Linked DNA regions of Macaca mulatta. The protein of the gene in region 1 interacts with the protein of each later gene in a pairwise test. Links are inferred from orthologs where the notes say so. Each region holds a gene or a part of one and is shown on either strand. Other genes may lie near its edges.

Region 1 (3,747 bases):
AGACTAGGCCCCAAACATGAAGGATAAAAGTAAACGAAAAAAACAAATTCAATTTTCAAATATATGCATAAGTATATGAGAATACTTCAAGGATAAATAAAACAAAATAAATTATCTTTAATGACTATTACCCAGGGATAATTTGTAAGATTTCTGGAACAACTACATCCCCGGATTTTAAGAAAATACGAGCTCTCAATAAATAAGTTTTCTTAATGCCTATTTGCTTAGACAACCTGCATAATCTTTGCTTGCTCTAATGAAGAGCAGGTACAACTGAGATGGCTTGCCTTTATCCTGTGGTTATTAGGTTCTTATACCAGAGGTATCAAAGTGACATCCTGCAAATTCTAACAAGCCCAAACAGTTGTTCCACACATCATTTTAAAAATCAGAAAAATAACATAACGCTTTGGATTTCTAATCTTTCTTAAAAAATAGGAAGATCAGCTGGGCGCGCGGTGGCTCACGCCTGTAATTCCAGCACTTTGGGAGGCCGAGGTGGGCGGATCACGAGGTCAAGAGATCAAGACCAGCCTGGCCAACAAGGTGAAACCCCGTCTCTACTAAAAATACAAAAATTAGCTGGATGTGGGGGTGTGCGCCTGTAGTCCCAGCTACTCAGGAGGCTGAGGCAGAAGAATCGCTTGAACCCAGGAGGCGGAGGTTGCAGTGAGCCGAGACAGCACCATTGCACTCCAGCCTGGTGACAGAGCGAGACTCTATCTCAAAAATAAATAAATAAAATAAAATAAAATAAAAAATAGGAAGATCTGGCAATACTGACCCTTCACTCCTACATAACAAACCACTGGAATTCAGTAGTGGCTGACTTTTTAGGAGAGGCATTGCTCTCCAGTACCCAAGTCCTCACCTCTTCTTTCTTTATTATTTATGGCCCTCATGGGCATTCAAATTTTTTACCCCCATTCTATACACTTCCTACTGTTCCCAATTTCAAATATTAGAACTCTGATATACTTATTTCTCTTCCCCTCTGATTCTGATTTATTCTATATGTTTTCTTTTTTTCCCCTCTAATCTATTCATGAAAAACCCATATTACTGTCTCAGACTCCAAAGACATGAAATTAGTGCATATCTAAATCCACAGAACCATCTACTGGGAACATTAATATCAAAACCCTAAGAAATTATTGATAACATTATATGGTCTCATCCATCACCTTTCAGCAAAGCTCTTCCTGCAATGCCACTTTTCTTCAGCTATTTTTTAATTTTCTTTATACCTCTTCTTCAAATACAGAGAATCAGACCATAATAACTTTATGTGACACTTTGATGATGCAACGTTTGGCTCCTCTACATTTCCAATTTTTGTGTTAGAATACCACATTGTGCTAGATTCTACAGGTCTAGAGCAGTCACATGACTTGGTTAAAGGCGATTATTGCATGTGGCTTCAGCTTCACATAATTATACAGATATGGTTTAAAATCTACTTGTTCCTAAATAAATCTTCTGACCACTTTGCCCTGAAATAATACTACCACTGACTTCAGAATGCTGCATTTCTCATTTCCACTTACATAGCGGCAGCTGGATCCCCTATTTGAAAACTACAGAACAATTCAATTCTTTGCATACAGCTCCTCTTACTGAACTTATCACCTGAGAATCTAGAATGATAGGATTTGCAACTCCCCCACCCTCCAGAACCAGGCCCCACCTCACCTTAGTGGTTAACATTAGTGATTTACTACAATATTAAAAGTAACAGTACGATCTCTTTTTCTCTCTGACCCCAAAAAGGAATAGAACTGAACGGAAATAAAAATGAAATGGAGAGTAGGAGACGTACCGCAGATTGAAACCTCGGTTGCTCTTCCTGGAATAGGAGAGAAAAAAAAATAGAAAATATAGAAGTTATTTTTACACTTAACATTCAATAATAAGAAAGAAAATGCCGGCGGCAGAGGAAGCGGAGGGTGGGGAGTCAGCCCGACACCCCTTCCTCCCTCCCCACCCCTTGCCCCCACCCTTCCACCCTCGGCGGGATCCGGTAGCGGGATAGAGGGGTCCCGAGCGCCGCCCCTCCTTCCGGGATCCGACCCGGGCCAGAGGGGTCTCGAGCACTGTCTCCTCCCTGCAGACCCAGCTCGGGCATCTAGGCACCCCCAACCCCTCTCCGCCCTTCCTCGCCCCCCAGGATCCGCGGGTCACGGGAGGAGAGGATCGCGTTCCGAAGGGGCAGGTCCTGAACGCCGTCCCCTTCCCCTGGATCCGGACAATGGGATCCCGGGCGCCCCCCATCCTTGTCCCCCGGATCCTGAGCCCGGGAAGGTGGGAGCGGGAGGCCGCAGCACCCTCCCCCACGGGAGAAGGTGGGAGTCCCAGAAGCCGCGTGTCTTCCCCCCACCTCCAGTCCCAGGAGGCCGCTCCGGCCAGGAGCCGGAGGGGAGCGAGCCGGGAACGCGACGGAGGCAGTCCTGGCCCCGAGGGAAAGGGGAAGGGGAAGGAGGCGGCGGCGGCCCGGCCCCCTCCCGCCGTCGCCCCGCTGAGAGCCCCGGCCGCTGTCCCCGCCTGACAACCCGCACGGGAAGGAAGAAGCCCCAGGACTCACGTCGCTCTCCACCTCGATGTCATCGTTATCGCTCATTTCCTACAGCCCAGGGAGCGGCCACTGCAGCGGCGGCGGGGAGGGGAAGGGGTGAAGGGGAGGGGGAAGTCACCGACAACAACAAGCCGAGTCCCCCCACACACACACTCACTCACTCACTCACTCGCTCTCTCACTCACACACACACACAACACGGGCAAGAACCACCTCCTCACTGCAGCACCGGATCAACGGCGGCACGCACGCCCGGTCGGCCCCCGCCACGTGACCAAGCTCGCAGCGCTGGGGCAGCCGAGACTTGTAGTTTTTGTCCCTTTGACAGACGGCCCGGGTAACTCCAGAAAAACTACAAATCCCGGAAGAAACCGCATCCAGGCGTCGCCAGCCAGGCTGGTAGACGGAGCCCAGGGCGCCTGCGCGTCCCGGAAAGGGGGCGGGGAGAGCCGCGGCGCGGCGCCTCCTGGGAGTCGTAGTCCGCAGACCGCGAGTTGTCAGGAGATTTTCCTCCAGAGGCGGCAGAGGAGGCTGCTGGGAAGACAGGACACGTGGAGGGAGCTGGAGCTCCTGGAGCCGGGCACCGTCGGCGCGCTGAACGCCGGGCCCAGGGGACTGGGTGGAGTCTCTGGGGGAGTAGCCGGCTGTCTAAATAATGCTGCCTCTTTTTGGTGTGACTGGTTATACTTTGTCTTCTTGATGCGAAGTGGTTCTGTTTTGCGCCTAGGGGCGTAACCCGCCCTGGAGGGAATCCGGCTGCGGCGGAACAGGGGGTGCGGCTCGGGATGCCGGCGCGAACCCTCGGGAGCTGGTGGGGAGGTATCAGTGGCAGGTGTTTCGTGGTGTTACCGGACAGGCAGGATGACCGACCTCGCCGGGCGACCGCTCCCAGCCGCGAGAATCCTGTATTCATTTATCCGGGAGTGACCATCCTCGCTACTCAGCTACTCGCGTGAGGTTCCAGCATTCACAGAACGCGAACCCTCAACCACTGTGGGCGTGAAAGTAAAAGCCCTTTAGAGTTTGTTGTAGCCCAGGCAGTCTAGGCAGTATCCCAGCTCAGAGTACCATAATTAAGATCGCAAAAAGGATCAATATGGGAAACTTGTGCAGTTCCCTGTCCAGTTAAAATCATATTTATATACTGTGGCATGAAGTGTAATCACATCCAT
Region 2 (3,747 bases), about 57 Mb from region 1:
TTTGGGAGGCCGAGGTGGGCAGATCACGAGGTCAGGGGCTCCAGACCATCCTGGCCAACACAGTGAAACCTTGTCTCTATTAAAAGTACAAAAACTTAGCTGGGCGTGGTGGCACGCCCCTGTAGTCCCAGTCCCAGCTACTTGGGGGGCTGAGGCAGGAGAATTGCTTGAACCTGGGAGGCAGAGGTTGCAGTGAGCTGAGATCACGCCACTGCACTCCAGCCTGGGCAACACAGCAAGACTCTGTTTCAAAAAATAAATAAATAAATACATAAATAAATTAAATTAAATATTTTCCTTTGTATTTATATACCCAAGTGTACCCACAGAAAAAATATAGCATTATTTTGCTATGCAGGGGATCATTAACATAAATGATATAATACTATATGTGTTATCATATATTTTTCTTCTTTTCTTTTTCAAAAGAGACAGGGCCTCACTCTGTCATCCAGGCTGGAGTGCAGTGACACAATCATAGCTCACTGTAACTGCAAAATCCAGGGCTCAAAGGATTCTCCTGCCTCAGCCTCACAAGTAGCTGGGACTACAAGGGTGTGCCAACACACCCAGCTAACTTTTTAAGTTTTGGTAGCAACAGGGTCTCACTATGCTGCCCAGGCTGGTGTCAAACTCCTAGCCTCAAGTGATCGTCCCGTCTTGGCCTCCCAAAGCACTGGGATTACAGGCATGAGACAGCATGCCCTGCCTATTTTGCTTTGTTTATTCAACAAGTGTCCCAGAGCTTTCCATTTCAATATGTGTGTATCTACCCATTCTCAGTAACTATGTAAGAGTCTCTAGTAAGGACATTACCCAATTTATTCAGCCATTCCTCTATGGCTGGGCATTGAGGCAAGTTCCAAGCTTTTACTACAAAAAAGGCTGAAATAAACATACACATGTCTACTTGTGCATGTGGGCAAGGTTTCTGTGAGAGAAACAGCAAGAAGTAAACATATGGGATCAAAAGATACGCTCATTTCAAATTTGATATGCTAAAGTACTCTCCAAAAGAGCTGTACCAGCCTCACCACTGATGTGTCTGCCTCACTCCTTCTTGAAAAGTATACAAACTTTTAAATGTCTGCCAAACAGACCTCCAAATCAACAGTAACACGCTGTCATCTTAATTTGCTTTTCCCTGGCCACAGGCAAGGTTAACCAGAATTCTATATGTTCACTTGCCATCAGTATCTCTTGTCTGGAGAACTGTGTCTGCACCCCTGGCCCAGATCCCTTCACCACCTCTCTGGGTCACTCACATACCTTCTCCTGAATCTGGCCCCCGATGTTCCGCAAGGCCTCCTGGAAAACTTTGTTCTTGGGCTCCAAGCTCACACATCTCTGCAGGTCAAGGACAGCCTGGTCGAGGCGGCCCAGCTTCTCTAGGGCTTGGCTCCGCCGGTAGAGTGCTTTGACATCCCCACCATCCTTTTCAATGGCTGAGCACAAACAGGAGCGCTGTCAGCACCCATGAGGCCACCATCTCCAGGCAAGAGCAGTAGGGAAAGATCTCGAGGAAAGGCCAGAAGGTAGGGGGACGAATGTGGGGCTCGGTGCTTCAGCCTCAGAAAAGGTGAGGGTAGCTGCAGAAAAGGAAAGGCCCGAGGCAGTGGGAAAGAAAGAAGGCAGATGTGTCTCCGGGGCCAAAGGAGGAGAATGTGATGGTGCAGCGGTCCCAGAGTCCTTGCCCACCACAGAAGCCCTACAGCTCCACACGAGGGTCCACCATTCCCCTACCTTTGGATGCCTCTGTTTCTGCTTTGTCGTAATCTTCCTGTAAGAGAAAGACAGGAGCCTGAAAGAATGGTCATCTCCCTTTCGGGGCACTAACCAGGCAGCAGGGGTACTCTCGCTGTCCAAGGTCACCCGATCCCCCTTCACGCTGAGGTGCAAAAGACATCTGGCAAGCGGGGATGGCCTGGGAGCTTGAATTCCCAGCTGGGGCCCAAGCATCAGCTGAGATGGGCGAACCGGGGCCCGGCAGGCAAGGGGAAGAGCGCCAGGCTCCCTCACCAGCTTGAGGTGGCAGGCGGCCCGGTTCCGGTGCAGAATGGCCTGGTCCTGGGGCGTCGCGTCCAGACCCAGGGCCTGAGTGTAGGCCCCCAGGGCGCCCTCGTAGTCTCCACATTTGAACAGCTCGTTGCCCTCTTTCCGCAGCTGCTCCACTGAGCTGGCCTGTAGAGAGAAAGGGGGCGGAAACGTCGGAGGGGGTTCGGGGCAGAGCCCTGGAGAAGAGGAGGGATAGGCACGAGCCTCATGGATGGGGAGAAGGAGGCCTGGGATGGTCAGGGCGGGTGCGAAGGGGTGATGGCGCGGGGACTGGGTACGCACCCCGGAGGTGGCCGGCCGGGGCTCGGGGATCCCTGGACCACTCACAGTCATCGCGGAGAGGTTGTCCCGTGCCCGCGCAGGCGCAGTCTCTGGTGCGGGACGAGTCTGGCTCCGGACGCTGCCGGGAGCTGCCCCGCCCCACTCTTGCGTCGGAGGTGGAGTCAGAGAGGGGCAGGGCTAAAGAGTTAGCGCGCCCGGGCAGGGGCGGGGCACTCGACTCTGGATCGCAGGTGCAGGCAAGCTCCGGTCGCGCCTAAGCTGTCCCCGCGGAGACCTGCAGGAGTTCACGGCGGAGGACCCGGAGGGAGGCCTGCGGTGGCTCCAGCCCCGACCCCGGCCCCGATCGCAGCAGAAGTGCACAAGGTCTGCGGTCATCAGGGTCACAACCAGTAGGCTGTAGAGGCCCAGCACTAGGAGTTGTCCTGGGCCCCTGCGGGAGAGAAAAAAGTATCTGGATCCCGGCCCTGGCCGCGCTCTGGCTGCTGCGCTCTGTGGGAGTACAGAACCCCTGGGAGTCCGGAGAAAGCTCGGGACTCCATCCCCAAATAAGTGTAGTCTTACATACACACATTTGCATACGAATTTAGGAGCTCATCCTAGAGCCACCCATGGGCAGATTCAGTATGGCTCCCTATTACCCGCTTGCACAGCCCCCTGAACTTCTCCCTTGTAATTGTAATCATGATCTACATGATTTTCTGTTGCGGTCTGTCCCTTCACTAGTCTGTAAGTTACAAGCCTCCCACCCCATAATTTAGGAACAGAGCCCCAGATATTGGAACACCCTGACGATGTTCCAGTGGCTCCGGGGTTGGAGATCTCACCTGAGGATGGGCGGGGGCGGAAGAGCGGACAGGTTGACTTGGTACAGGGCCTCAAATTCAGCCCGGGTGCAGCAGGAGCCCCCTGCAGCCTGCAGGTGGCAGCAGTAGGCTTCCTCTGGAGAATCAGAGAGACGAGGGCAAAAGAAACCAGGGTAGTGGTGGCCATTGACATCCCGGGTGGTCTGGCACAAGTGAGGGTGGTGGACCACAGCTGAAGAGAGAGGTTGGGGGGCTAGAAATAAGCAGGAGGGATCTTTCCACAGCCCACTCCACCCCTACTGGAGAGTAAAAGAGATCAGCCCCTACCGGAAGAGCAGGCGCCCTTCCATTCATCCCCATCAGTTCCAGTTCCCAGGAATAGCCCATAGCACGATAGGCAGGTGGGCCACAGGGGTAAGTGCTGTACCTGAGAGAGAGGTTGACTGGACAAGGGTCACCCAGCTGAAGAGCAGCAGTAGCCCCACGGATAGGCCTGTCAGCAAGGGGCCTGACCTTCTTCTCCAGACGCCCATGAGATTTCACCACCACCTCTGTCCTGGTCCTGGGAACTCTAACATCTCTCTTTCTAGGCCATGACTGCATAAAT
Region 3 (3,747 bases), about 120 Mb from region 1:
CGGACACCTGTAATCCCAGCTACTCAGAAGTCTGAGGCAGAATTGCTTGAACCCAGGAGGCAGAGGTTGCAGTGAGCATCACTGCACTCCAGCCTGGGGACAAGCCCAAAACTCCCTCTCAAAAAAAAAAATATATATATATATATACACACACACACACACATACACACATATATATATAAAATTCACCTAGTTTTTTTTTTTTTTTTTTTGGAGACAGAGTTTCACTCTTGTTGCCCAGGCTGGAGTGCAATGGCGCAATCTCTGGTCACTGCAACCTCCACCTCCCGGGTTCAAGCATCCCAAGTAGCTATGATTACAGGCATGCGCCACCATGCCTGGCTAATTTTGTATTTTTAGTCGAGACGGGGTTTCTCCATGTTGGTCAGGCTGGTCTGGAACTCCCGACCTCAGGTGATCCGCCCGCCTCAGCCTTCCAAAGTGCTGGGATTACAAGCGTGAACCACCACGCCCGGCAATTTTATTTAAATTTTAAGGTAAAAATCCCATTCTTTCTCCAAACAGTTGATTGTTCCAACATAAATTTTGGAACCCCTTCCCTACTGATATGAAATACCACCTTTGTAACACTAAATAATCTTATATATTTCTAGATTATTCTGTTTCACCACTCTTGTGTTCCAGGGTTGCTACTTACATTTTGATTATCAAAGCTTTATTTGTATATTCTCTAGTACAAGTCCTTTTCCCATTCTTCTCTTCCAAAAAGTTTCTTACTTTCTAGGTTTACTTTTTCAAATGAATTTTAAAACCATTTTGTCAAGTTTTCAAAAGGAAATCTGGTTGGAATCATGTAAAACTGCCAGCCATATCTCTCTGTTGCTATTTTCCTCAGTGGTAAAATGGAAATAACAGTACTTACCTCGCAGGTTTGTTATGAGAACTAAATAAATTAAATACAGTACAAAGTATTTAAAACACCAAGCCAGAAAGATGTTAACTATAATTACTCAAAAGTGACAGCTATTATGATTGCTCAATAAATGTTTTCCAGATGTGTTCGCACAATCTTCAAAGGCTCTTTTTAAGATAAATCAAAAGGTATCATAAAACATAAGCAGTGGTGTGGAAAACAATTTATACTTTTCTTCACCAACGCCTTGACCCTTCTTTGGTGAAATAAAGAGCTGGAACTGGGAGCAGAGACCAAGAAAAATGCCACAGGCTACCAGGTCTCTAAAATTTTACAAAGCTAGCCCATCAAGTGGAAACGAAGACTTCTAGGCCCTTCTAGTCAGCGTTATGGGTGATCAGCATTTCCCTTTAAATACTACTATTTCCCCATCTCCACAGTTATGACAATAGTAGTTACCTTTTGATTTCCTCCCAGAAAATACATAGGGATTAGATGTCTAAAAGACAGTATTTTTCAAATGAGGTCGTGGGCCCCTATAAAGTATAAATGGGAATGATAAAGATGGAGAGACATGCCCAGAATATTATAACAAATTACCTCTACCAGGTTTCCCACATCACTGTAAAGATTGAGAGGGGAGAGGCTGTGGGTTTTTTTTTTTTGGGGGGGGGGCGGTTGTCTCATTATAATTGTTAAGAATTTGTTAAATTTTTTTTTTTCTGCATTGAAATTGAAGTGAGGAAGTCAGAGGCCGTATGAGGGGCCTTAAGAGGTGATCTCCTCTACTGAGCTGAATGAGAAATGGAAGACGAGAGTGGAAAGATGAAACCAGCCAAAGGCCTGGACCCCAGGCCTCCGAATTCCCAGATCTCGGCTCATCCCAGTACACCACACAGCTTCTCACCGACGCTTGCCACGCTTCGAGGTGGGAGGAGTAAAAACAGGCAATCCGACCGCAGCAAAGACGCTGGAAAACCACAGGCCGGCGCAGTCGAAGGCACGTGACCCGCCACGCCCCCCCCACCCTCCCCCTGCCCCGCGCCAGCAGCACGCGCTGCCAACCTCGTCATGTGACCTTCACGCGGCCCCAGCGCTCCCCCTGCTTGGCGACTCTTTCCAGCAGCCATTTTGCTGAGAACTTGTCGTCTGTGCTTGCCGCGGAGCAGGACGCCGCGAAAAGCCGCGGCCAGAATTTACGGGCCGCACACGCGCTTCGAAAGAGCGCTCAGGCCGTCAGGGCCCGGTCGAACCTCAATGAACACGTCGCACCCCGGGGCGCCGGGGAAAGCTGTGGGTGCGCCTCGGCCTGAGATTGGCTGTGGCGTCCACGTGACGCCTCAGCCCCCTCCCCGCCACCTTCTCCTTCCCCCCAACTCACAAAAACACCCAGACTGTTAACACCTCGCGCCAAGAACACGCCACCAGGCGCGTGGGGACGGGCGTAGCGCGTGGCAAGCAAAGCGCCTGCGCGTACCTGCCAGGGCCGACAGCAACCGACCCACGCGCCGTTCCGCTCGCGGGTCCCGGAATCCTCGCGCTGCTGGACCACCCGGCTAGTCATTGGCTGCCAGTTCGGGTCACGTGCTGGTCGCCGGCCCGCCCCTACCCGCTAATCACCTGGCACCGAGCTCGAAGCGGCGCCGAGTCGTTCGCACGCGGAGAGGGAGGGTAGTTAGAGGGCCATCCTTTTCTGCCATTATGGAATTAAACTCATAAAGAGGAAACGAGAAACCAGAGGTTCAAAGCTAAGGAAGCTCGCACCTACCGGCTTAACTTCGCGCGCCTCTCCAGGAGCCGGGAACCATCGCCCTTGGGCGCTCCCCGATGCACGCCGGGATACGCCTGGCGCCCCTCGGTGTGCTGCAGAGCATGCCGGGAAAGGCACCTCTCCCGATCTCCTGGCGCTCACCTCCCGGGCGTTCCTTTCGTGTCCCCTTTGAAAGCCCGATCCTTGGGCTTGGAATGAGACGGTTTGGGTAATTATGGGAGTGTGGCGAGGTATACCAGGCACTTTGAGCCCCTCCTCCCCGACTTGTTTGATCTGTGTGGTCTTGGGGAAACCGTTTAACCTTTCTCCACGGAGCAAGCGTTAAGTGTGTGCCTGCTGAGTGACTTTGTAAAGATTCAAAAAAAAAAAAAAAAACAGCAAGGGTATTTGCCTACAAATGAACTGCCAGCCTTTCCTGGCCAATGAAAAAGAATGCTAATTTAAATGCAACTTACCAGGAGCCCCACATGAGAGTGGAAATGGCACTTGGAATTTCCCTTGGGATAGAAGATGAGCCCTTTCTTGCTAAACTCACTGCTACTGTTGGGGAAAGCAGGGTGATAAGAGCATGCGGCGTTTTAAAGGAGGCAGGGACATGCCTGTATCACAGTTACTGGTTCCACCTCATACGAGATACGGTATATTGGAAACGAGAAAAAAAAAAACACCGTCTCCTAACTCAGAAAAAGTGGTCAGGCATCAGAACCAATTAACTTTGTAACATATTCACAAACTGCCCTTCAGGCCAAAACCTAATATTTTACTCCCATGAAACCCCCACTTAAAACAATTCACACCTTTTCTGCTTTGAACTCCATTCTTCAGCTTTGCCGATTTCAGAACGATTTCATCAATTCTTAAAGAGATGATTAAGCTTGAAGAATTTGACTAGCGATGGTCAAGCTCAAGAGTTCTTATTTATAGATTAAAAATTAAATGTATCCATTTATAATGTGGTTATTAAGCCAAAATATAGTTTGTGGCACCCTTTTCTAATTTCAAGGTACTTCATAAGCCTAATTATCAGAAAATTATTCCCTGACTAGAAAATCAAAAGAAAGGGTATTAGATGATCATGTGTAATAAAGAGCATTAAATTGTA

What was found.
Region 2: the proteins of MAX (region 1) and UNC45A interact in binary tests that used the Homo sapiens proteins (3 or more experiments, as listed by UniProt). The two-hybrid records come from large-scale screens. The link is inferred for Macaca mulatta from reciprocal best matches to the Homo sapiens genes MAX and UNC45A.
Region 3: the proteins of MAX (region 1) and MGA interact in binary tests that used the Homo sapiens proteins (3 or more experiments, as listed by UniProt). The link is inferred for Macaca mulatta from reciprocal best matches to the Homo sapiens genes MAX and MGA.

The regions. Positions count from the first base shown.
Region 1 is NC_133412.1:138,199,685-138,203,431, forward strand, and holds the start of MAX (protein max), read right to left. Parts: upstream 2,793-3,747; 5' UTR 2,621-2,792; coding exon 2,585-2,620; coding exon of another isoform or gene 2,381-2,584; intron 1,850-2,380; coding exon of another isoform or gene 1,823-1,849; intron 1-1,822. UniProt on the Homo sapiens protein: Transcription regulator. Forms a sequence-specific DNA-binding protein complex with MYC or MAD which recognizes the core sequence 5'-CAC[GA]TG-3'. The MYC:MAX complex is a transcriptional activator, whereas the MAD:MAX complex is a repressor.
Region 2 is NC_133412.1:80,845,991-80,849,737, reverse strand, and holds the start of UNC45A (protein unc-45 homolog A), read right to left. Parts: upstream 2,429-3,747; 5' UTR 2,389-2,428; coding exon 2,338-2,388; intron 2,182-2,337; coding exon 2,020-2,181; intron 1,802-2,019; coding exon of another isoform or gene 1,781-1,801; coding exon 1,744-1,780; intron 1,446-1,743; coding exon 1,270-1,445; intron 1-1,269.
Region 3 is NC_133412.1:18,989,283-18,993,029, reverse strand, and holds the start of MGA (MAX gene-associated protein), read right to left. Parts: upstream 2,718-3,747; 5' UTR 2,643-2,717; exon of another isoform or gene 2,352-2,642; intron 1-2,351. UniProt on the Homo sapiens protein: Functions as a dual-specificity transcription factor, regulating the expression of both MAX-network and T-box family target genes. Functions as a repressor or an activator.